Canis lupus familiaris: one gene and its partners. The protein of the gene in region 3 purifies or fractionates together with the protein of the main gene of each other region. This does not show direct contact. Links are inferred from orthologs where the notes say so. Each region holds a gene or a part of one and is shown on either strand. Other genes may lie near its edges. The genes, in order: HES1, FOXG1 and TLE1.

Evidence for each region.
Region 1: the proteins of TLE1 (region 3) and HES1 purify together in Homo sapiens (affinity purification with western blotting; 4 studies listed by BioGRID and IntAct, with this or other methods). This does not show direct contact. The link is inferred for Canis lupus familiaris from reciprocal best matches to the Homo sapiens genes TLE1 and HES1.
Region 2: the proteins of TLE1 (region 3) and FOXG1 purify together in Homo sapiens (affinity purification with western blotting; 3 studies listed by BioGRID and IntAct, with this or other methods). This does not show direct contact. The link is inferred for Canis lupus familiaris from reciprocal best matches to the Homo sapiens genes TLE1 and FOXG1.

Annotation. Positions count from the first base shown.
Region 1 is NC_049244.1:53,005,141-53,013,232, reverse strand, and holds HES1 (transcription factor HES-1), read right to left. Parts: upstream 5,425-8,092; 5' UTR 5,108-5,424; coding exon 5,000-5,107; intron 4,842-4,999; coding exon 4,746-4,841; intron 4,247-4,745; coding exon 4,159-4,246; intron 3,719-4,158; coding exon 3,168-3,718; 3' UTR 2,786-3,167; downstream 1-2,785. UniProt on the Homo sapiens protein: Transcriptional repressor of genes that require a bHLH protein for their transcription. May act as a negative regulator of myogenesis by inhibiting the functions of MYOD1 and ASH1.
Region 2 is NC_049229.1:8,411,489-8,419,580, forward strand, and holds FOXG1 (forkhead box protein G1), read left to right. Parts: upstream 1-3,012; 5' UTR 3,013-3,041; coding exon 3,042-4,532; 3' UTR 4,533-5,476; downstream 5,477-8,092. UniProt on the Homo sapiens protein: Transcription repression factor which plays an important role in the establishment of the regional subdivision of the developing brain and in the development of the telencephalon.
Region 3 is NC_049222.1:78,255,403-78,263,131, reverse strand, and holds the end of TLE1 (transducin-like enhancer protein 1), read right to left. Parts: intron 6,403-7,729; coding exon 6,255-6,402; intron 4,836-6,254; coding exon 4,685-4,835; intron 3,754-4,684; coding exon 3,677-3,753; intron 3,536-3,676; coding exon 3,428-3,535; 3' UTR 2,961-3,427; downstream 1-2,960. UniProt on the Homo sapiens protein: Transcriptional corepressor that binds to a number of transcription factors. Inhibits NF-kappa-B-regulated gene expression. Inhibits the transcriptional activation mediated by FOXA2, and by CTNNB1 and TCF family members in Wnt signaling.

The DNA of each region.
Region 1 (8,092 bases), on a different chromosome or scaffold from region 3:
CCCCCCTCTCGGCCCAGTGCCTCCCCCCACAGCCCAGCACCTCGCCTCCCCCCCACCCCCGCGGCCCAGTGCCTCCCCCGCACAGCCCAGCACCTCCCCTCCCCTCCACCCCCGCGGCCCAGCGGCCCCCCCACAGCCCAGGGCTTCCCCTCCTCCCCCGCCCCCGCGGCCCAGCGCCTTCCCCACCCCCGCGGCCCAGTGCCCCCCCCTCCCGCAGCCCCTGTCCCCCCCCTACCCCCGTCACACCCTACCCGGGGGCTGAGCGCCCCCCCCCGCGGCCCAGTGCCTCCCCCCACAGCCCAGCGCCTCCCCTCCCCCCCACCCCCGTGGCCCAGCGCCTCCCCCCACCTGCCCCCTTCACCGGGCCCAGCGCCCCTCCCCGCCCCCAGGGAGGTGGCCCGGACAGCAGGGGGCCTGGGCCCTGAGGGCCTCCATTGACAGGGTAATGCACTGGGTGGCCTCCCGGGCGGCCCGCATCCGGACACGGGGCTGGGAGCTGGGCCGCTGGGCCTTATCTCCGGGAACCATCGGGACAGCCTGGGGGGGGGGGGCGGACAGGGGCCGCGGGGTGTGCCCCGAGGTCGTAAAACCAGGCCAGACCGGAGTGGGGGTGGCTGGCCAAAGTCGCAGTTGTCTTTGAAGCTTCACCACCCCCACCCCGCCACCCCAACTAATTACTCCAGAAACAGCCTGGGTGCAGGAGGGCACAAGGTCTTCGAAATAAACCCACTCATTTTACGGACCTGGAAATGTCCCAGATAAGGGAAGTGACTCATCCAAAGTGACACAGCCAGTTCAGTGGTGCAGCTGGCACAGGAGCCTGAAAGTTCCCATTGGGGCCTAGGGTGTCACCCTTCTCTCCACATTGTATGGAAACAAATGCCTCCTCTAAGAGTCTAGACCCAAATTCCAAGAAAAAAATAAAAAAGACAATTTTCAAATTATCAGAAGAGCAAATATTTACTTCTTTTCCTTAAATTTATTACTTCCTCCCCCAAGAAATTTATGTAGTTTTGATGAATAGAATTAACTTTAATTAATTTAAAGTTGGTGTAGAGATTCCGCTGTGTGTGTGTGCGCGCGTGCATGCACGGGTGTGTGGCTTCTTAAAGAACATAAATGTATTTTTATAAAAAGGAGACCCTGATGTCTCCATTATTTATGCCAGGACAGTTCAGGACTTCTAGGGCTCCTGAGGACAGGTTTACCAAATGCAGCACTCAGGCTTGTGTTCGATGTCTTAATAGAGCAATTGCTATTTTGTTTGTGTTCAAACAAGAGAGAAATCATGGAAAAATGGTACAATAAAGCAGGGTGTGTGTACATGTGCGTGTATTTCTCGGGGGGTGGGTGTTGGACACCTTTCACATAATGAGGCAAGTAGGGGCCAAATTTAAAAAAAATATCTTTGAAAACTCTCCCTCTGCGTCCAAAGCTGGGTCGGTCGAAGGTATTTGGGTAGAAAAGTGCTGTCTGCTGGCTAGATCATTCCCGCGATACGGCCGCTCTCCACGCTGGCCTGTGGGAAAGGCTGGAGCAAGGCGGGGGAGAGGTAAAGCTTTTGAAACAAGACAGAAAATCGTTGGCTTTATCTTTGTTAGGAAGGCTTCAAAGATTGATTTCTCCCGCCTCATCCTTCTCCTCCCAGAAGCCGTTCTAAAAGAAGGGGGATGAGAGGAGGCTGGCGGGAGGGGCCGGGCAGGGAGGAGGACTGGCCGGCGGTGGGGGAGGAGGGCGCGCCCGCCAGACCCACAGCGCGGCTGATGTGTCTGGTCTCGCAGGGCTCGTGGTTTTCATTTCCCCAACACCTGGATGCAGTCAAACACCTGGCCAAATCTGACAAAATCTGACAAGCCTTTGTGATGGGATTTGGAAGAAATTCCCTGCAGATCCTGGCACAGTTTAAAGCTGTCCGCTTTGAGTTAGGACTTGTTAAGGAGGGTTATGTGAGCTGAAACCCGAGACAACCCTTTTGCTTCTATCTGGAGCCCACATCTTGCCTGGAAATGGGGCATGACCAAGCGAAGGGGTCGCTTGCTGTTTGTATTAAAGGGAAGATGGCCTGTGTGCCTGCCAGCGCGGCCCCCACATGCTTTCTCTATTAGAGCCAAGCGCAGAAACTTATCAAAAACATATGTCTGGTGTTAATCATCTGGACTTGGGCTCCACTTGGGAGTCTAACTAGCTGTCCCCTGGCAGAAGGAATCTGTTGACCTTCTCAGCTTGCTTGAAGAGGGTGCAGAGAGGCATTTTCAAACTTTTGGATGCCGGTACAAGGGACTGCGCAGCTAGCTGCACCTATGTACTAAGTAAACGGGCTCCAACGTTTGAGGGCCAGAGGCTGCATCCGTTTCCTTTGGATGTCGGGGTGCGACCCCAGGGAAGCGGCGCCACGGGGGTCTCACTTACTGTGTGGTGGGCACGCATTACTCGATTGATTGACTTCAGTCTGGTTCAACCTTCTTCAGAAGGAGCTGTAAGGAAAACCAGGACTGAATGATATACCCAACTGCAACTAAAAAAAAAAAATAAATAATAATAATTGAAATCCTATTTAAGAGATTGACCTCAAATTGATCAGAGTAGCCATATTAGACGGGTTCTTGCAAATTAAGTGGAATTTACTTCATGGAGGCCGGTAAAAGGTCTGCTGGATTTTTTAAAATGTTCTTTTAATAACAAAAGAGCCAATGACTGAATTCTCAGATTACATGTAATCCACAAATTCTGCCAAGAGCTTTTTTTTCTTTTTTACATATATACCGAAATAATCAGTTCTAAGACATAGGAGCCTTCACTCTTTTTTCTTTTATTATATTTTCTCAAATAAACTTCCCAAAGGGAAGATATTTTAAGAGCATTTTCAAACATCTTTGGCATCACATAAAAAAAGAAATCTCGTGTAAAAAACGAAATGTCATCTGAGTTTTTTTTATAATACAAAGGCGCAATCCAATATGAACATATAAAATATATACAAATATAGTGCATGGTCAGTCACTTAATACAGCTCTCTACAAAAAAAAGTAACTTTTTAGGAATTAAAAAAAAGAAACAAAGTAACCACTTGATCATTACAGTCCTCTGGTCTCCCAGTGTCCAAGTTCCTGTTGAGTGTCCCCGGGGCGGGGCGGGGCAGGGCAGGGCAGGGGAGGGTGCCCGGGCCTTCAGTTCCTCCAGGGCCGCCACATGGAGTCCGCCGTGAGCGAGGGGCCGCTGGAGGGCGAGCCGGCGCCGGGGCCCACGGAGGCGCCGCCGCCGCTGGTGTAGACGGGGATGACCGGGCCGCTGTGGGCGAAGGCCCCGCTGGGGATGAGGAAGGCGAACTGGCCGTCGGGCGCCGGCAGCACCTGGAAGCCGCCGAACACCTTGGCGGCCTCCCCGGCCGGGCTGCCCAGCTTGCAGGGCGCACCGCCGGGAGGGGGCGCCGCGCCCCCGGGGATGGGCACGAGCGGCGGGGGCGGCGCGAACGGCGCGTGCTGCGGGCCTCCGGGGCCGGGCGGGGGCGGCGGCGGCGCCTGCAGGGCGGGGTGCGGCTGCCCCGGGTAGGTCATGGCGTTGATCTGGGTCATGCAGTTGGCCAGGTGGCCGAGCAGCCGCGTGCGCACCTCGGTGTTGACGCCCTCGCACGTGGACAGGAAGCGGGTCACCTCGTTCATACACTCGCTGAAGCCGGCGCGGTACTTGCCCAGCACGCTCGGGTCTGTGCTCAGCGCGGCTGCGGGCAGAGGGGGCGCGCGGGTCACCCGAGGCCCCGGCCCGCCCCGCCCGGACCACCCGGTGGGGAGGGGAGGGGGAGGGGGAGGGGGAGGGGGCCCTGCACCTCTGCTCCCGCCCCCGCGCTAGTGACCTTGGGCAGCGCCCTTCCCCCTCCGCGCCGCCCGGGCCTGGCTCCTGCAGGGCGGGGGGGGGGAGGGGGCGGCCAGGGGACCCCAGGCTGCGCGCCCCGCGCCCCCCTGCCCGCCGGCCCGCGCCCCCCCTCTCCGGAACACTAACAACTTGGAGCCGCGGCTATAAATAAGCCCAGACCGTGGGAACGCGGGGCTGAGCCAAGGCAGTAAAACGCAGCTGAATGCCTCTCTCCACCGCGGGCGGAAGTCTGGGAGGGGTCGCCGCGGGGCGCACGGGGCGCCCCCAGGGGACGCGCAGCCGCCTCACCCGTCATCTGCGCCCGCTGCAGGTTCCGGAGGTGCTTCACTGTCATTTCCAGAATGTCCGCCTTCTCCAGCTTGGAATGCCGCGAGCTCTGCACACAGCAGGAGGCAAGGCACGGACGTGAGGGCCCCGCCGGCGGCCCCGAGACCCGGGGTCACCCCCTCCGGAAGCGCCGAGACCTGGGGTCGCCCCGCCGGAGGCCCCGAGGCCTGGGGTCACCCCCAACGGCGGCCCCAACACCTGGGGTCACCCCCAACAGCGGCCCCGAGACCTGGGGTCACCCCGCCGGCGGCCCCGACACATGTGGACTCCCCGCCGGCAGCCCCGAGACCTGGGGTCACCCCCAACGGCAGCCCCGAGACCTGGGGTTCCCCCCGCTTGCCGCGGCCCCGACACCTGGGATTCCCCTCCCCGCCCCCCGACATCCCCAGACCCTGGAGGGGCCCGGCCTCCGGCCCCGAGACCGCAGTGCGGGCGGGGACGATCCCGCCAGCGAGGGGGGTTCGCGCTCAGTAGCCCAGAAATGGGATTTCATTTTAATTGAAAGAGAAAAAAGAAAAAAAAAAAAAAAGGCAGCATTACCCACTTACATCTTTCTTAAGAGCATCCAAAATCAGTGTTTTCAGCTGGCTCAGACTTTCATTTATCCTTGCTCTTCGTCTTTTCTCCATGATAGGCTTGGATGACTGCAAAGAAATTATATATATATATTTTTTTTTTACAAAGCGCCCCGAGTTCCCCCTGGGATCTGCCGCTTCACCCCGGGGTTAGGAGAAGGGAGCCCCCCCGCCCCCCACGCCCGACCTGGGTCTCGGGGCTGCAGGGAGAGCGGCGCTGCCCTTACCTTTCTGTGCTCGGATGCTGTCTTTGGTTTATCCGGTGTCGTGTTGACACTGGCCGGGGTAGCAGCCACCGGGGACGAGGAATTTTTCTCCATTATATCAGCTGGCATTTTCTGTTGCTTTTTTTTTTTTTTCCCCAAGTCCCTAGAGAATTTTATTTTTGGAGTCCTTCACACACACACACACACAGAAAAAATTGCTTTGTTTATGTCCCTTTCACTGGAGGCCTCCGCAGGACGACTGAGCAAGTGCTGGGGGTTTATGGTACAGTCTTAGGGCCACTCGGCGGCCGGCAGCGCTATTCCAGGACCAAGGAGAGAGGTAGACGGGGGATCCCACTGTTATCTGCACCGGCTCCGGATCCTGTGTGATCCCCAGGCCCTGGCGGCCTCTATATATATCTGGGACTGCACGCGAACGGCTCGTGTGAAACTTCCCAAACTTTCTTTCCCACAGTAACTTTCAGCCAATGGGAGGAGGAGACACGCGGCACCGCTCGTGGGCCGCGCCCCCCCATTGGCCGCCGGGCACAAGGCCTGGCGGCCAATGGCGCGCGCCTGAGCCCGGGGCACCGGAGGCTACAACGTCAATCAAAAGGATTTTAACCCTTTGCTATTCTCCCCGCTGGGCTTTGCTTTAGAGGGGATTTTTCCGCAGGTTTCGCCCCAGTCTAATTTATTTCTTTTAGGGCCAGAGTCTCTGCTCTTTATTCCCTTCCACGTGTAGCATAGAGCTGCTCTGGCACTAATAAGAACTTCATTTGCAATATATATATATATATATATAATTTTTTAAAGGGTTTAGAAGGACAGGGAGGAAAGAGGAGACCGTGTGCAAGGGTGTGAGTTACCGAAACATTCAACTGAGTCACCCCTGAGACACTACACATCGGGGCGAGGAGGGAGATGTAAAATCGATCATGCAGAAAAGAGGCAAAAATATCTATATTTGTTTTGCATACGTTAAAAGGAAAAGGTGCCTCCCACCTTACGTGAGCGAGTTTCCAGAGCAAGATGTTTTTATTTTTTTGCAACTTCCCCCCCCCCCCCCTCCCCCCCCCCCCCGCCCCTCGCGCGCCCCTCATTCCTCTTCTGCACTTGGGGCCTTGGATCCCGCGCTTCCCCAGGAAACAATCAGAATAATTTCCAACCGGGCAGAAAGGAAATGGAATTTCAAATGAAAGATGAACAAGAGGGGCTTTGATGGCGGGGCCCCAGGCCCGCGCGCGCGCCCTCGCCCTGCGTCCCCTCCCGCCCACGGGCTCCCGGGCGGCGGCCTCCCCTCCCCGCCCCTCCCCTCCCCGCCCCTCCCCCGGCGGCCCCCGGCGCGCGCGGGCCCTTTAAGAGCCGCCGCCGCCGCGCCGCGGTTGACATCAGCCGGCCGGGAGGGCGCGCCCGGGGCCGGAGCACGTGCCAGGATGTTTTATTGCGGCGGCGGCTGCGGCCGGGCCGGAGGATGTGTGTGTGCGTGCGTGTGTGAGTGCGTGTGCGAGCGCGAGCGCGAGGGCGAGTGCGCGCCGGGGGGCCGGGAGGGCAGGAGCAGCTGCTGCGCCCGAGCCTGGGAAAACCCCGCCCCTGCGCCCGGCGGGCTCGTCGGCGCGCGCGGCGGCGGGGGTGCGTGTGTCCGGGCGGGGCGGGAGGGAGGGGAGGGGCGGGGCGGGCCAAGGTCGGCCTTCCGGGCGGGGGCGGCGGGCTCACCCCACTCACCCCCCCGCACCCCGACCCGGGCTGGGGCTTCCAGGCGGAGGGAGGCGGGGGCGGGCGCTCCTGGTGGCTCCCCTCCCCCTCCCCTCCCGGCCCGCCTCCCCCCTCCCCGCCCCCCCCCGCGGGGCCCCGGCGCCCGCCGCGGTCACGAGATGCCTGACCGCACTTAGGAAGCGGCCGGGCGGCCTCCTGCCTCCGCTCGGCGGCTGCGGTCACCGCGGCTTCGCGCCCCCGCCCCCGCCCCCCCCCCCCCCGCCCGGCGGCTCCCCCTCGCTGCGCCCCGGAGGCCCGGGAGGCGGCCGGCGGGCGGCCGGGAGGAGGCGGGCGGCGCGGGCGGCGGCTGCGTGCTGCCGGCTGGCCGGGCCGCGCGCCGGGAGGAGCCGCCGCCGCCGCCGCCGGGTGCCACGTGGCGGGGCGCCGGGCCGGGAGCGCCGGGGCTCTGCGGCCGCCTCCCCGGGGACCTGCCTGCCGCGCGGCCCGGCGGCGCGCTCTGCCCCCGACGCCCCCCGCGCCCCGGACGCCCCCGCGCCCCCCACCCCCGCCACCCTGCCGGCGCCCGGGTCCCCTGCGCGCACCCGCGCCCCCCATCCCCTTCACCCCGCGAGCCCCCCCACCCCCGGGCCCCCTCCTCCCCGCGAGCCCTCCACCCCCGGGCCCCCTCCGCCCCGTGCGCCCCCCCACCCCCGGGCCCCCTCCGCCCCGTGCGCCCCCCACCCCCGGGCCCCCTCCACCCGCGAGCCCTCCACCCCGGGCCCCCTCCGCCCCCGCGAGCCCCTCCACCCCGCGAGCCCCTCCAACCCCCCAAGCCCCCTCCGCCCCGTGCGCCCCCCACCCCGGGCCCCCTCCTCCCCGCGAGCCCCCCACCCCCTACCCCCCACCCCCTCCACCCTGCGCGCCCCCCGCCCCCGTGCCCGCCTCCTCCACCCTGCCCGCGCCCCCGCCCCCCACCCTTGCGTCCCCGCCCCCGCGGGCTCGGCGCGCTGCTCGGACGCTGGGGGGCCCGGGAGCCGGCGTCGCGTTTGCTGGCGCTCCCCCCCCCCCCCCCCCCAGCCCCGCCGCAGGCCTGGAGGCCGCCGGAGGCCTGGCACACGGTTCCCAGACACTTCATTCCTTCCTTCCTCCGAGCTCCCCGCTGAGATAATGTTGTAAACGCTCCCACCGCTCCCGCCCGGCCGAGCAGCCTCAGTCTCAGCGGCCCGACTCGGGACCTCCGCGAGGCCCCCTCCCCCGCGCGCAGCGCCCGCTCCGTGCCAGGCGCCGAGTTGGGCCCCGGGTTACCGGCAGGCGGGTGCCCTGGCCGGCGGCGAGGAGGAGCTTGACTTTCCGATGACCGGGCCTGCCCCTGTACTCCTCCCGGGGCCCGGGTGGTGGCCTGCGGGGTCAGGGGAGCCT
Region 2 (8,092 bases), on a different chromosome or scaffold from region 3:
ATTATAAGTGGTGATGAGAAGGGGGGTTGTAGGGGGAGAAATGGGGAGGAGTAGGTGGAGGAATGGAGCTAGGGAGAGGAATAGACTGAGGAGAAGGGGGGGTAGTGAGTGGGGAGGAGGGAGGAAGAGGGGAGGAGGGAGGAAAGTGAGTTGAGGAAAAGTAGGAATAACAGGCCCGAGGCAGGGGGAAGAGTGAAAGGAGGAAAGTGAGCAGAAAGAAGAGGAAGGCTCACAGATCTGTCCAGCCGGCCCACAAAGCCCATTAGCTCACCCAGCTCTGTAAGAAATTGGAGCTTAGAAGTCAGTTTGGGGCTCTGTCACCATCAACGTTGATAGCTGGGACCCTTCAACTTTCCCACATGAAAATATAGATTAAGTGAGGAAATAAGTAGAAATGGGAGGGGGGGGATACATACATACATACATACATACATACATACATACAGTGGAAGGACAGATGCAGTTAGTCCAATGTTCAAAGTTTCTTTATGGTATTCCTAACAGATGTAAAATCACTAGCTATTGGTAATCGTCTGTTATTCAGAGTTTATTCTCTCTTTCTCTTCCTCAGGATTTCAAAGTAGGGAGTGGGGTGCCCAGAGAGAGAGAGAGAGAGAGTGCCACAACCCCATATGAACTTGAGTATTCTTGTGTTCATCAACCGAATTCTTTTTATTAGAATTGAACTTTGACATCACCTCTTCTCCCTTCCTTTTCTTAAATACTAAATCCGCCAATTTAATTGATAGTTTATCAGAGTGCGTGAATGTTTACATTTTATGATGATTTTGCAGAGGAGGGGGAAAGTGCCTTTCATTTATGCTTCTCCTCCACCTCCCTCTTCTCTAGGGCTACATCCTCCGTAAAATGTGGTATGTTTCGTACCCATGTGGGATGAAACAGCCTTTGATCAGTGTGCTCCGCACCAAATTCCAATCCCTGGGAAATGCTGGGCCTTAGCCCTGCCCCTGGCCACGGGATCCTTTTAAAGCCCCCGAATCACAATCTCCCCACTCACTTCAGTCCTCAGCCGAACCTTCCCAGTTCGAAAGCCCAAGAAGCTGGGGCTGTGGGACCCACGTACCCAGGGCTTCTAGTTGCCTTCCGTCCGCATTCGGGGTGGGAAAGGCCTGGCTTCGGCATGCGGTTCTTTCAGCATTAAGGCCCGCACAAATCAAAAGCGTTTGAGAAACGGAAAGAAAAAAGAAAAGAGGGAGTGAAAACAGGAAGGCTTTAAAAAAAAAAAAAAAGAAAGAAATAGCCGCCCACCCTTATTTTCCTTCCAATGTCAACAAGCAAAATGAAACATTTCCAGGGTGATCGCTCGCGGCTACTCGCTTCCAATTCGGATTAGAAGCTGAGCAGACGCTGGGGCGGCGGAGAGAAGGCGACACCGGGTCACCCAGCGTGTGAGCGACGGTCCGGAGCAGGAGAGGAGGGGAAGGAAGAGAGAGACACAGAGGCAGAGCATGTGTTACCTGGTTTATTTCGAGACTGTTTGGTATTGTTCGCTGAGCACCCCTCCTTGCGGAAGGCTACCCTAGGCGCCCACCACTGAGCCGCCCCCGCCCGCCGCCGCCGCCGCCGCCGCCGCCGCCGCCGCCGCCGCCGCCTCCGCGCCGGCAGCCCCAGGGCCCGGCTTCCCCGCGGGCCCGAGCCCCGAGCCCCGAGCCCCGAGCCCCGAGCCCCGAGCTCGCCGCCGCCCGGCCGCAGGAACCGAGTAAGTAGCCCCCGTTTGGCCCCGCGCTCGCCAGCCCACTCCCTCCGCCTCATCCCTCCGTCTCCGACCCTCGGCCGGACCCGCCGCCCCCCCACGCCAGGGGTGGGCCTTCCCTCGCCTTCCCTCCCCTGCCCTCCGAAGCCTCGCCGGGGTGTTACCTACGAGGGGCACAGTTTTCCTACGGGCTCGGCAATGCCGCCCCGGGCCTGGAGGGCCGACTCGGGGCCGGTCGCGCCTCGCCTCTTCCTCCTCCACTTCCTGCCCTCTCCTCGCACCCCGTCCCCGCACTCCCACACTCTCCGCCCCACCGCCGCGGCCGCCCCCGCCCCCGCCCCCGCCCCCGCTTTTAAAAATGAAATGGAATACAAACTTTAATCAATAACGACAAACATTGACGCTCAAACGAAAATGGCCCGACACGGCGAGGAGGCAGCCGGAAATGTGAGCTATCTGCCCTAAGAGGGGGACCTCGGCGGAGCGGCCCGCAGGGCGGAGGGGGTGGCGGGGGCGCCGAGAGGGCCGCGGCGCAGCGTGCTCCGGGCGGCGTATCCCTACGCGGCTCCGCGCGGCCGCGAGGCCCAGGCCCGCGGCGAGGGGGAGGCGAGCGCCGAGGGGGCGGGAGCCGGCGGGCGGGGCGGGGGTGGGTGGGCCCGGGTCCGCCGATTGGTCGACGGCGGGAGAGACGCTCCCGCACGCCGCCGGCTCTGATTGGCCGAGCGGTAGGAAAGGTTAAACCAAAAATTTTTTTACAGCCCTAGTGTGCGCCTGTAGCTCGGAAAATTAATTGTGGCTATAGCCGCCTCGATCGCTGTCTCCCCAGCCTCGCCGCGGCCGCTCCGGGACGCGCCCGCCCGCCGCCCGGCTCTCCCCCCCTTTGGGCTGCTGCTGCTGCTGCTGTGACTGCTGCTGCGAGAGGAGGAGGAGGAGGAGGAAGCAGCAGAAGGGGGGGGGAGCGGGGGGTGGGGGGGAGACCAAGAAGTAGAGTTGGGAGCGAGGGAGCTTCACCCCCGGGGCGGTGGTTGTTTCTTTTTTCTCTTTCTTTCTTTTTTTCTTTTCCCTTTTTTTTTTTTTTTTTTTTCTTCTAATTCCTGAGGGGTGGTTGCTGCTTTTGCTACATGACTTGCCAGCGCCGGAGCCTGCGGTCCAACTGCGCTGCTGCCGGAGCGCTCAGTGCCGCCGCCGCCGCCCGCGCCGCCCGCGCCCCGCTCGGCACCCACCGGTCGCCGCCGCCCGCCGCGCCGCTGTCCCGCTCCCGCGCCGCCGCCGCCGCCGCCGCCGCCGCCGCCGCCGCCGCCGCCGCTTCCCCCCCGACGACTGGGTGATGCTGGACATGGGAGATAGGAAAGAGGTGAAAATGATCCCCAAGTCCTCGTTCAGCATCAACAGCCTGGTGCCGGAGGCGGTCCAGAACGACAACCACCACGCGAGTCACGGCCACCACAACAGCCACCACCCCCAGCACCACCACCACCACCACCACCACCACCACCACCCGCCGCCGCCCGCCCCGCAGCCGCCGCCGCCGCCGCCGCCGCAGCAGCAGCCGCCGCCGCCGCCGCCGCCGCCGCCCCAGGCACCGCAGCCCCCCCAGGCGCGGGGCGCCCCGGCAGCCGACGACGACAAGGGCCCCCAGCAGCTGCTGCTCCCGCCGCCGCCGCCGCCGCCGCCGCCGCCGCCGGCCGCCGCCCTGGACGGGGCCAAGGCGGACGGGCTGGGCGGCAAGGGCGAGCCGGGCGGCGGGCCCGGGGAGCTGGCGCCCGTCGGGCCGGACGAGAAGGAGAAGGGCGCCGGCGCCGGGGGGGAGGAGAAGAAGGGGGCGGGCGAGGGCGGCAAGGACGGGGAGGGGGGCAAGGAGGGCGAGAAGAAGAACGGCAAGTACGAGAAGCCGCCCTTCAGCTACAACGCGCTCATCATGATGGCCATCCGGCAGAGCCCCGAGAAGCGGCTCACGCTCAACGGCATCTACGAGTTCATCATGAAGAACTTCCCCTACTACCGCGAGAACAAGCAGGGCTGGCAGAACTCCATCCGCCACAACCTGTCCCTCAACAAGTGCTTCGTGAAGGTGCCCCGCCACTACGACGACCCGGGCAAGGGCAACTACTGGATGCTGGACCCGTCGAGCGACGACGTGTTCATCGGCGGCACCACGGGCAAGCTGCGGCGCCGCTCCACCACGTCGCGCGCCAAGCTGGCCTTCAAGCGCGGGGCGCGCCTCACCTCCACCGGCCTCACCTTCATGGACCGCGCCGGCTCCCTCTACTGGCCCATGTCGCCCTTCCTGTCCCTGCACCACCCCCGCGCCAGCAGCACTTTGAGCTACAACGGCACCACGTCGGCCTACCCCAGCCACCCCATGCCCTACAGCTCCGTGTTGACTCAGAACTCGCTGGGCAACAACCACTCCTTCTCCACGGCCAACGGCCTGAGCGTGGACCGGCTGGTCAACGGGGAGATCCCGTACGCCACGCACCACCTCACGGCCGCCGCGCTCGCCGCCTCGGTGCCCTGCGGCCTGTCGGTGCCCTGCTCCGGGACCTACTCCCTCAACCCTTGCTCGGTCAACCTGCTCGCGGGCCAGACCAGTTACTTTTTCCCCCACGTCCCGCACCCGTCAATGACTTCGCAGAGCAGCACGTCCATGAGCGCCCGGGCCGCGTCCTCCTCCACGTCTCCGCAGGCCCCCTCGACCCTGCCCTGTGAGTCTTTAAGACCCTCTTTGCCAAGCTTCACGACGGGACTGTCCGGGGGACTGTCTGATTATTTCACACATCAAAATCAGGGGTCTTCTTCCAACCCTTTAATACATTAACATCCCTGGGACCAGACTGTAAGTGAACGTTTTACACACATTTGCATTGTAAATGATAATTAAAAAATAAGTCCAGGTATTTTTTATTAAGCCCCCCGCCCCCATTTCTGTACGTTCGTTCAGTCTTTAGGATTGTTTATTATTCTAACAAGGTGTGGAGTGTCAGCGAGGTGCAATGTGGGGAGAATACATTGTAGAATATAAGGTTTGGAAGTCAAAATTATAGTAGAATGTGTATCTAAATAGTGACTGCTTTGCCATTTCATTCAAACCTGACAAGTCTATCTCTAAGAGCCGCCAGATTTCCATGTGTGCAGTATTATAAGTTATCATGGATCTTTATGGTGGACGCAGACCTTGAGAACAGCCTAAATTATGGGGAGAGTTTTAAAATGTTAAACTGTAATTTGTATTTAAGAAGCATTCGTAGTAAAGGTGCCCAAGAAATTATTTTGGCCATTTATTGTTTTGTCCTTTTCTTTAAAAAAACCGTTTTTTTTTCTTTTGTTTACTTTTAGACCAAAGATTGGGTTCTAAAATGCACTTGGTATGCTAAGTATTAAAAAAAAAAAAAAAAAAAAAAACCACAAAAAAAAAAAAAAGGAAAGTTGTTTCAGTTGGCAGCACTGCCCATTCAAATGAATCAGAAGGGGACAAAATTAATGATTGCCTTCAGTTTGTGTTGTGTATATTTTGATGTATGTGGTCACTAACAGGTCACTTTTATTTTTTCTAAATGTAGTGAAATGTTAATACCTATTGTACTTATAGGTAAACCTTGCAAATATGTAACCTGTGTTGCGCAAATGCCGCATAAATTTGAGTGATTGTTAATGTTGTCTTAAAATTTCTTGATTGTGATACTGTGGTCATATGCCCGTGTTTGTCACTTACAAAAATGTTTACTATGAACACACAGAAATAAAAAATAGGCTAAATTCATATATATCTTGATACTTTTGTCTCTTTTATTAAATAGAGCTAATTTTTAAAAGACCATTAAAGTCCTAGGGAATTCAAAGGCTTTTTCGGCCAACTAAAATTTAACTGCTCCTTTCATTTGAATTGAGACTTCAAAAAAATTAAAATACCTTTTTTTTTTCCCCATTGTGGAATCAAATTTTACAAGGAGCAGGCTATTTGATAAGCACTAGCTTTAAAGAAATTACAGGCTTTTCAGCTGGTATCTTCAAGTTTCTGTAGATATACAGCAAAAAAAAAAAAATTATAATTTTATGTGCATAGCTATTTTACCTTGTGTTTATTTTCAAATCAGTTGATAGAATGCTTACTTTTTATATATTTTGTTTCAGGTATCTTGTTTATAGCATTTGGCAAATTATAAATAAATATATGTATATGGTTAGATAGAAGTGAATATAATGCACACATATGTAATATATATATAGATATATATATATATGTGTGTATATATATGTAAACACACAGAGCCCTTCAGTTCAGGTACAATTTGCGCTATGAATGCTGCAAATATTTTTGTTTAAATATTTGTATTTATACTTTCTAAGTCAGCATTTATTTTTGTGGCTGTTTACCCACAATGAAAGAGTTCTAATAAAGATGTGCTGAAGTTGCAATATAGATTTGCTGAAGTGATCACCTGTTGTAATGACTTGCAGATCAATGTTTATATTTTATTTTTAATTATAACAACTTAAAATTCTAGATGTTCAGAAGAAGTAAAATGCCTCTCTCTCCTTTTCTTTCATTTTTACGACATAGAGGTATTTATTTGATTCCCTTTTAAATGTCTGTATAATTTAATCTAGAGGTTTGTTCCTTTTGCTTAGTCATAATTTTGCTTTAACTTACAGTATGCATATGCATGCGTATATATGCATATATATCAATCTGAAACAAAATGAAAACATTTTTTGAATTGTTTCAGCATCTCAATTGCTATGACTGCAGAAAATAATTAGAAAACCTAAGTAAAAGGTTTAGTAACTAATTGGATCCTGTGGAGAGTCTATGGAGGACAAGTTGTTCATTTGTTACAATTGTATAGTCTGAAATGTGTTCTGCAGTAATGCAATAAGCTGGCTACTTCTTACAATGGGCCCAATGAAAAATAATCTGTCCCCAAGATGTTATCGGCAAACACTTAGAGAGTTGCTCAGGAAAAAGGGGGGGGGGGGAAAGCCTAGGAGAGAAGCAAGCGGACTCAAATAGATTGAAATAGAAATGCAGAATAGTTCTAATATTGGGACATAGGGATGGATGGGTTGTGGAAGGGAGAGACAGAAGAAGACAGAAGAAAGGAAAAGATATTTGGGGATGGGGGGGGGGAGCATCTCCCACTACCAAAAAGAAAGAAAGAGAAAGAGGATGCTGTTTGAGAAAGATAGATAAAGTTGGGGAAAATTAAAAGAGCTGGAACCAAATATACACAAATGGGAAATTGACTAAAATAGACCAAGACAGCTAGTTTAATTATCTCCTTTAAGCAGACTGGACACGATTTTGTTTTCTTAGTAAAAGAGCAGTTTCGCCAGAGGTCCAGCTTTCTTGAAATGTAACAGTTCTTCAGAATGAAGCATGAAAGAAAATTCCACAAATAAGTTGTTTTAGAAGCCAAATTTATTACTATTAAAAATAGTAATAGAGTCCAAGTGAGTGAGGTTAGGCAAGGGAAATCCCCCTCATATAAATGTGAACCAAAACAGCTCAAAGAAAAGCATGTGTTTAGACTGAAAAAGGTGATGATGTATTGTTTGCTTTTACCATGGACTTTGTGGAATGAGAATGTATTGCCACAGAAGAAATAGTCTTTTGCCTATCAAAAAGTTAAAAAGAAAGTTGAACTCTTGTATTGTGGTAAAAGGGACATAGACTCAGAAGAAAGAGTTCCTCCATGAGGTGTTTTTTTTTTTTTTTCTGGCCATATTAAATAAGTATACTTTTTTGTGATAAATGTTTATTTGCATGATTGAGAAATCAAATTTCAAGGGCAAACTTCTGAGGTCAAGCATAAAATTGACTTCTTTGAACTCATAGGACCTAAGGACTGGAATGGAAGTTCTATTTGGATACATCTCCCAAGTTAACATAGATAATGGATGTAACTAGAAGTAAGAATAGCTTGTTGAATACGCATACAAGATAGGGGGGAGGATGTACAGAGAGAGAAATTTGTGAAGGCCTCCTGAAGCCCGATATGAACATTTCATTTATCTCAATCTGTCCTATCATCTCTCAAGTTATCTTTTTTAAAAACGTACAGTGTTCTAGCATGGTGTTTAATTGTTGTTGTTGGTTTTTTTTTTTTTTTTGCAACAAATTGGTTGTAATGTTGTGTTGATATTTGTTGTCACCAACCTTTGCCAGTTAAAAATTAGCTTATGCCAGAAAAGCACTTCAAAACTTTTTGAAGCTTTTCTTCTTTCATACTTATAATTATTTTTAATGAGATGAAGGTTGCTCTTTTTGAGATTTGGAACTGAAAATGGTCATAACTTAAAACTTGAAATCCCAAACTGCAGTTTATCTCCAGGTTTAAAGTATTTTACTTGAACGTGTCTGATACAAAGTTAATACAG
Region 3 (7,729 bases):
ACTCAAAAACTCAAGAGTTGGGGACCCCAAAATCTGAATCTGTTCCTCCTGGTGATTCTGATGCCCATTAAAGTTTGAGAACAACTTTTCTAGAAATATGAACCCAACTCATAAGCATTTAACTGTTTAAGTGCCAGGACAAAATATGAAGCCAAACAAAGCTTTGGGTGTCTGGAGAGTAAATTCCCCAGAGCAGAAAATAACCCTCACTCAAACTACAGTTTGCTCAGGGAAGCCCGAAACTGTGGTAATCTGACACTTTCATTGCTGAGCGAGGAGTGAAGAGATGTCCGAGAAGAAAAAAATCCATGGATCTACAGCAGAATGGAGTTTGAAATGTCATCACTCAATTTCAAGCTGATGACAGAGGCAGCAGTCTCCTGATGGCATGAAACAGCATGCTGAAGTTAAGAATTTGATCTCTCTCTGATTTGTTGGAAAACTCATTGGGGAAAGTCACAACCTCTGTGTGCCAACAGCAAAAGTGCCATTTTAAAAAAATCTCTGTATGAATGCTCGATGGCTTTAAAGCCAGAAGCTACTTACCAGTCATGAAATCTTAAAAAAAAAAAAAAAAATTAGGCCATCAAAAAATCCCATCTCTCAAATGCTGTGAAGATTATAATTTATGTCAAACACTTCCCTATCACCTGGCAAATAGCACAACCTTAAAAAAATGCTAATTATCATATTGATGAAATATTTTATCCTTATTAGGAGTGCTAGAAACATCTAGTTTTACAAAAAGACATTCCAAATCTAATCTCACTAGGATTTCAATTTTTACCCAGTAAACTTCAATTCCATGGAAGAGCCAGATGGCAGAAACCTACATTCAAGGTGCAAAGACTGCAAGTGCTTAAAAAAAAAAACAGAATTAAATACATTTAGGGATAATGACAATCATCTCCGAATGTGTTTATGGGTGAAACTGCCTAGTACCATTTTTGGCACATAGAGGTGACCAATATCTAGTTGAATTTGAATTTATTAAACCTGAATTTGTAATCCATATTCAAAGCATGGAGTATACTAACTTTTGGCTTACCAGGGTTTCAACAATCCCATGATTCCAGACTCCTTGGGGACAGCAGCATGACTCCTAATTTCAGTTTAGGAAAAAATTGCTTTCCCACTCACATCCTCCAATTGTGAGAGAGCTGCCACTCAGTCCTGCTTTTGATCCCCTAGACTCAGAGGGGCAGGCACAACTATTGTATCATTCCCATTTTACAAGGAGGGAAACAATTGTCTTGGCAATTCCCCAAGATTCCAAACACCCTGAGCAGAGGAGCAGGACTTGCGCTAAGATGCCTCTTTCAGCACCACACTAGCAAATGGAGACGGTTTCATTAGATTCACGGTAATTGAGGAGTTGTAAGGTCTACACCCTCAGAAAATATAACTAGAGAAAGAATATCCGAAGCTTGAGAAACAAGAAAGCATGGAAGGAAAAAAATGCACCAAGAGAAAACAGGGCTATTTCTTTAACCTAGAGTCCTTTCAAAACCCCATCTTCTTAATGGGCACACAGCTAGCTGCACAGCAAGCAAGACATCCCTTTTCCCAGTCTCCCACGTGACTGAGTTCTAGCCAATTAGGAATAATGAACAGACTCTTAAGTCATCTGCTTGAAAGGTTATCTGTCCCCTGGACTTTAACTTTCCCCACTGCTGGCTGGGAGTGGGGGCAACAGAAGCCAGCATGAAAGCACAGCGCTGCACCACTGGCTCAGGTCTCTAGGGGAAGTCACAAACTCCCGTGGTCTCTAAGCCACTGCATTGGGGGTCTCTGTTCTAGCAACTTAAGTGCTTCCCTCCTATTATAGAAAATAGGGAAGTCAGGTAAGAAGAGACAACAGAAAAGATAAATACTACATTAATAAGCCATCAGCATATGTAGTACAGAAACATGCTTCATTATACAGGGGAGGGATGAGAGAAATCAGCTTCCGTAATTAGGGCTTTGCCATTCTCTTAATGAGAAGAGAAAATATTTAACAAACTCTCAGCATACACAAATATTATTTTGGCAAAAGGCAAACAAAATAACGTTGTTAAATGTATAAAAACAAGAAGGTCTGGATAACAAATGAAAAATATTAAGACAAACTGCCAACAACTTGCTGGATCCTAAGAAAACAAGAACATTAAAAATTCCTTAGGTGCTATTTTTAAATAGCCAGGAAACTTGGCTTAAAAATATTAACCGTTCTTTTCTAAAATATAACAGCAAATAATAGGTATACGAAGAAGTGAGCCACGTAGCCTTTTCAGGAGGAAACATGCATGGCCAACGTTAAGGTTTCATCTAATCAAATTAATAAAAGCTTGTCCACCAAGAGCAAGACCAGACTAATGAGAGATCACAATGGCTAGAAGCTGAGGGGAAAGCCTTAATGAGAAGAATGGGGCTGAGTGCTGGGTGTGACTGGCTTAAGTCAATCCATATAATAGATTAAATAAATATTAAAGAGACAAAACCAGTTGGCATCCCATCTTTCTTTTACAGGTTAACGAATTCCACAGCTTTGTGAACATCATTGATCATAACACTAGACACAAGTCACCCCACAAGCCTCGAGATGTGCCAAGAAAGATTTGAAGATGGCCTTTCCTAGAGAATATTCTGTCTCCCTATGAATCACCAGGAAAAAGCAGAGTTTTAATTTGTGACCTCCAATCACAAGCGTATCTTAAAAAAGGAAACATGAATCCTGATGAAGTTATTTTAGCTTCCCAAATAAAAGTGTCACTAGCAAACCTTCAAGGACTGACTATTCCTAGTCTTGAGTTCCCAGGAACTCAGAAGTGTTGATCAGGTGCCATGGCAAATATATTGGCAAATTCAAAAGTGCATTTTTAAACATCCTCTGCAAATGTGTGGACTTTGCTGATAAAATCTACATTAATGATCCCAAAGCTTTGATAGAAACAGAAAAGAAGGAAAGGGAAAACCACTTATTGGTACTAAAGCCTTTACTGTAATAAACCAAATATATTTACAATTTATACAAATGTTTAACCTTCAACAAAAATACAAAAAAACATTTCACAAGATGCAAAACCAGGAAACAAGTTCATTGGAGACACCACTGCTCTACCAAGCACAGAACGTGAGGGGAACTGCAAGGAACAGAAAGGTAATCTAGGCAGATCACACAGAAAGGAAAGTACAGGCTCTGCCTACAGCCCTTGGCCCCTCTGTCCACTCTGCCTCGGTGTCCGTTTGGTCTAGGTAGATCGGTGACCTTCAGTTGATGGGACTCGTTGCCTCCTCTTTGTAGACTCAAAATAGTTTTGTGTCAAGGTTTGGAAACAGGTTTTCATGGTGGTTTTTTTTTTTCCTTTTAAAGTTACAACTTTTCTATTTCTACAAATTCAAAACATTTTGGCCCGATTCAACTATAAACGTTAAACCCATGTTTTCAGTAGATGACTTCGTAGACTGTAGCCTTCTTGTCTCCTGAGCCAGTGACTATGTACTTATCATCCACTGAGATGTCACAGCTAAGCACAGATGAGGACTCTTTGGACTGGAAGAGAAAACAAGGGGCAAAGATTTTCTGTGAATGGCGATGCTCAGAGACCCTGCTCCTCCCCCAGGCACCTTCACTTCTGGAGTCATGGAGAATGCCCTCATCAAACTGCCATTCCTGGAAGGGGCACTGACCCACCTGGAATATACTAGCTCCGTAGGGGGTCCGCCAAGCATTGAGAAGGTTGTCCTTGCCAGTACTCACAAACCATTTACCTAGAGTCAGCAAAGGAATATGGGGTTTAGCAAGATTAAAATACCTACTATACTATTAGCAACCCAGACTAAAACAAACTCAGAGCATTTCTAATCATGAACTATCATGTGCAATGGCTTTGGCTGGGACGTGAGGGGAGAGATCAGGTTTTAAATCTGGGCTCCACCGTGAACCACCTGTGGTCTTGGGTTTTATCAAAGCGGCAGGGACTGTGTCAGCCCCATGAGCCACCAGATACACTTCGGAACACTCAGCACACAGTGGGTCCTCAAATAGTGAGATGATGAAGCTACTGTCCTTTTCATCACTTCCCTCATGATGAAATGGGTCTAGGAAGGATTAAATGATGAACTTGAGTAAAATGCCAGACACGAATATATGGCACATGGAATGTGCTCAGTGATAATGGCCACTCATCCCTCAGTCCGCTCCAAGAACAAATAATCCGACTCCACATGAACTTCTTCCCTCTTCTTCATTGCAGCATATAACCGTGTGGGGGAAGCTAAATAATCCCTTCTCTGATCCTCATTCCCTATCCTGCTCAATCCAAAGTGACTTCCAGTGTGCCTGCCCCAGGCTTCTGTAAGTTCCTCCCCGCGTTAGAGTGGTAACTAACTGCCCTCCACCTCGGCCCCAGACTCCCCCGCTAAATAATAATGATAATGATGATAATAATAATAATGATAACAATAATAATAAAAAAATCTGTCAAAACCTTGCAAGCATTACCTACTGACTTTTCTCATATTAGGAAAATGGGTTGAAACGGACATCACTATGCTCTGAGGGACATATTAAGACAATAGAATTATTGCATCCAGCTGCTCAGAGAACATTTTTTCCAGACATGATCTCCACTGTATTTTTTTAGAAGTATTTTCTATTGAGGCCACTGGCATCCTCCAGTTTCCTTTCAGCTCCACTCACCACAATAAGCAAATTTTAGGGACAGCACGCAGCTCTCATGGAGATGCAGCTGGTACTTGTCAGGCTTATTTACATGAAGAACTTCCACATTGCTACTCTCCATGCCCACGGCCAGCCACTCCCCAGTTGGGCAGTATCCAAGGGAGAAGATCTGTAGGAAGCAGAACAGGCTCACTAGTGATTTTGCCCAATAAACTGAGAAGTAAAATGGCAACAAGAAATGGGGGTAAATTAGCAAAGAAGAGGAGATGCAATTCAGCAAACTCCAGTCTGTAGTACAGTCCATGGGACAAGAGACCCAACACAGACACACTATGTGTTAAAAACCTTTATGAAAACAATCAGAAAACTTGGAATACATACATCACACGGAATGAAATTATTTTTTAAAAAGTATTTTTTTAAGTTTACATACTTAAATAATCTCTACCCCCAATGTGGGGCTCAAACTCACGACCCCGAGATCAAGAGCCACATGCTCTTCTGGCCAGGTGCCCCAAGAAATGAGTCTTACTAATAATGACATCTGTGTGTATGTTTTCACGTGGTGCTTATCCTTTGCAGATACTCCCTGAAATGCTTATGGATGAAATGACACGAGGTCTGGGATTTACATTAAAACAATCCAGTGTTTGGGGGGCAGGGATGATACATGAGACCAGTTATGGGTTTGCAGCTGTAAAGCTGAGTAATGAGCAAATGGGGTTTATCGGATACTTCTCTTACTTCCATATGCTAGGACATTCTCTCCACTTGTATATATCTGAAATTTTCCATAAGAAGTTATTTTTTTTTAAAAGGCAGACCAAAAACAGTAGCCTAACTCATGCCGAGAAAAGGGCTGGAATGAGAAGACTCTAAGAGACTCCCCACAAGATTAACAGGGACACAAAATTTAGAATTATGCACAGCTATACACGAGTAATGATCAAAAGATCAATCCCACCGTCAGAAGACACCTAGAATGGCACCGTTGTTCCCAGAACAAGTCTAGATTCAGATACTCGATATCTAACTCATCTCCATGACCCACAAAGTTGCCATTTCCTGTAATTTCAAACCTCCATAAATCTAGCCAGCCACGAGTCCAGTTTCCGAGGGATGAATAAGAAAATGGGCAACCACTGAGATGCTGCTGCATTTTTTAAGCTCCCCTATGCAAGGGAAATGAATTAACTTTCAGAGTGTTGTGATTTTTCTTGACTCCTCATGATAACCCGGCACATTTTTCAAGCTCTGTTTATATGTGGATCCAATAATGACCTCTCACCCCCCACACTAGATGATGGGAATATGTACAGCAGGTCAAACTGTATGTCCTTTGCTGAACAAGTTCCTGCGGTGAACTCACATATAAGTAAAACTCACAGGTCTTACTGACAAAGTTTTAGAAACCACGCTAAGCATTTCAGAGGCTTTGTTTGTGGGGTTTTTTTATTGTTTGTTTTAAATGGGTATCTCAAATTTAAGGCTAGTCTGTCTGCCTCATAATTACTGCCACGGGGTATGAAGGGAGGAAGACATCACACACAGGCCACTTCAGAGATTCCTGTGGGGAAAAGCACATCACCTGTGAGGTGAAGTCGTGCTGCTGCAGCTGGCGCCCCTCGCGTAGGTCCCAGGACCTGACCGTGTTGTCCAGGCCACCCGTCCAGAGCTTGGTGCCATCGTTAGAAATGTCAATACAGCTGGCCCCATCTGTGTGGCCCTGGAATTGCCTGATAAAACAAACGAGATTGAATAATGATTTCCTGCCAGAGCTCAAGGTAAACACTGTTGTGTTGTTAGTTTTGGACGCGGGGTGTGTGTGTCATCTCTTCAGTGTCTGCTGATGTGCAAGATCAAACTAACCTTCCCCCGAGGAGGAAACAGCACCTGCAGATTTTTTTCCCTTTTCTTTTTTCACGATCCAAGTGCTAAAGAAATGGAATGCCATTTTAGGTCATCACACAGGAGAAGTTAAATGCGCTCTTGTAGCTCTTCTTACAAATCCGTCTGGAAGGTAAAATTCCTCCCGGGTCTGGAAAAGTGTTTGAGTGTTAAAAGAAAAAAAAAAGAAGGACAAACACACAGAATCCCAAGCGTATTCTGTAAAGAAAGACGTCGGCCTGCATCAGTACATTACCAGCTCAGGGTCCCAGAAACACTCCCTTTTCCATGAGGGAGTCCACAAGGCAATGCCCTCCATGCCAACACAGCATGAGCTCACATATTTACTCAACCTCGCTTTCTGTGTTAGAAAGAGCCCTGCGTTAGGAAATCTGGACTCCCAGAGATGAAGGATCATACCATCCTCCTGATTCGGGGGCACTGAGCAGAGACCACTAACTTCTGAGGCTGACCCATGGGCACTCCGCAGGACCCTGCCTTGAAGGTCAGCTCAAGGTTCTCTCTTAGAGAGAACTCCTGTGGTTCAGTCAAAAAAACAAGACCAGAAACAATCAAGTGACAGGGGTTTGTGGCACAAAGAGGCTCTGCTAGGCCCGAGGTGGGGTCTGCTGAGGGAGAGGCCACACTGAGCCACCGCAGGGTTGGTGGTTTGTGGATTCTGGACCTGGTTCTGCAGGGCAGGAGGGAGCCAGCAAGGAAGTGACCAGAACAGACCCCATTGCTACGGGGAACCAGGCGGGATACGTTAGAGGGGCTGGGGAGTTTCAACACCCAGAGAGGAGTCTCTATGTCTGTCCTTCCTCTAGGTCCCCTCACCTTATTATTCTCACAGAGCTCCAAACTTTGAAACTGAGCTTAGAATTTAATGAGTGGAGTGTGGGGATGCCTGGGTAGCTCAGTTGAGCATCTGCCCTTGGCTCAGGGCATGAGCCTGGGGTCCTGGGATTGAGTCCCACATTGGGCTCCCCGCAGGGAGCCTGCTTCTCCCTCTGTCTGTGTCTCTGCCTCTCTCTCGACTAAATAAATAAAATCATTTAAAAAAAAAAGAGTTTAAGGAGTGTGGAAGACAAGACAAAGCACCACTTGATGTGAATTCTAAGATGAGAGCTTCAAAAATCGTTCCTCTAAAAGCTATTCTGAATATCCATCTTCGTC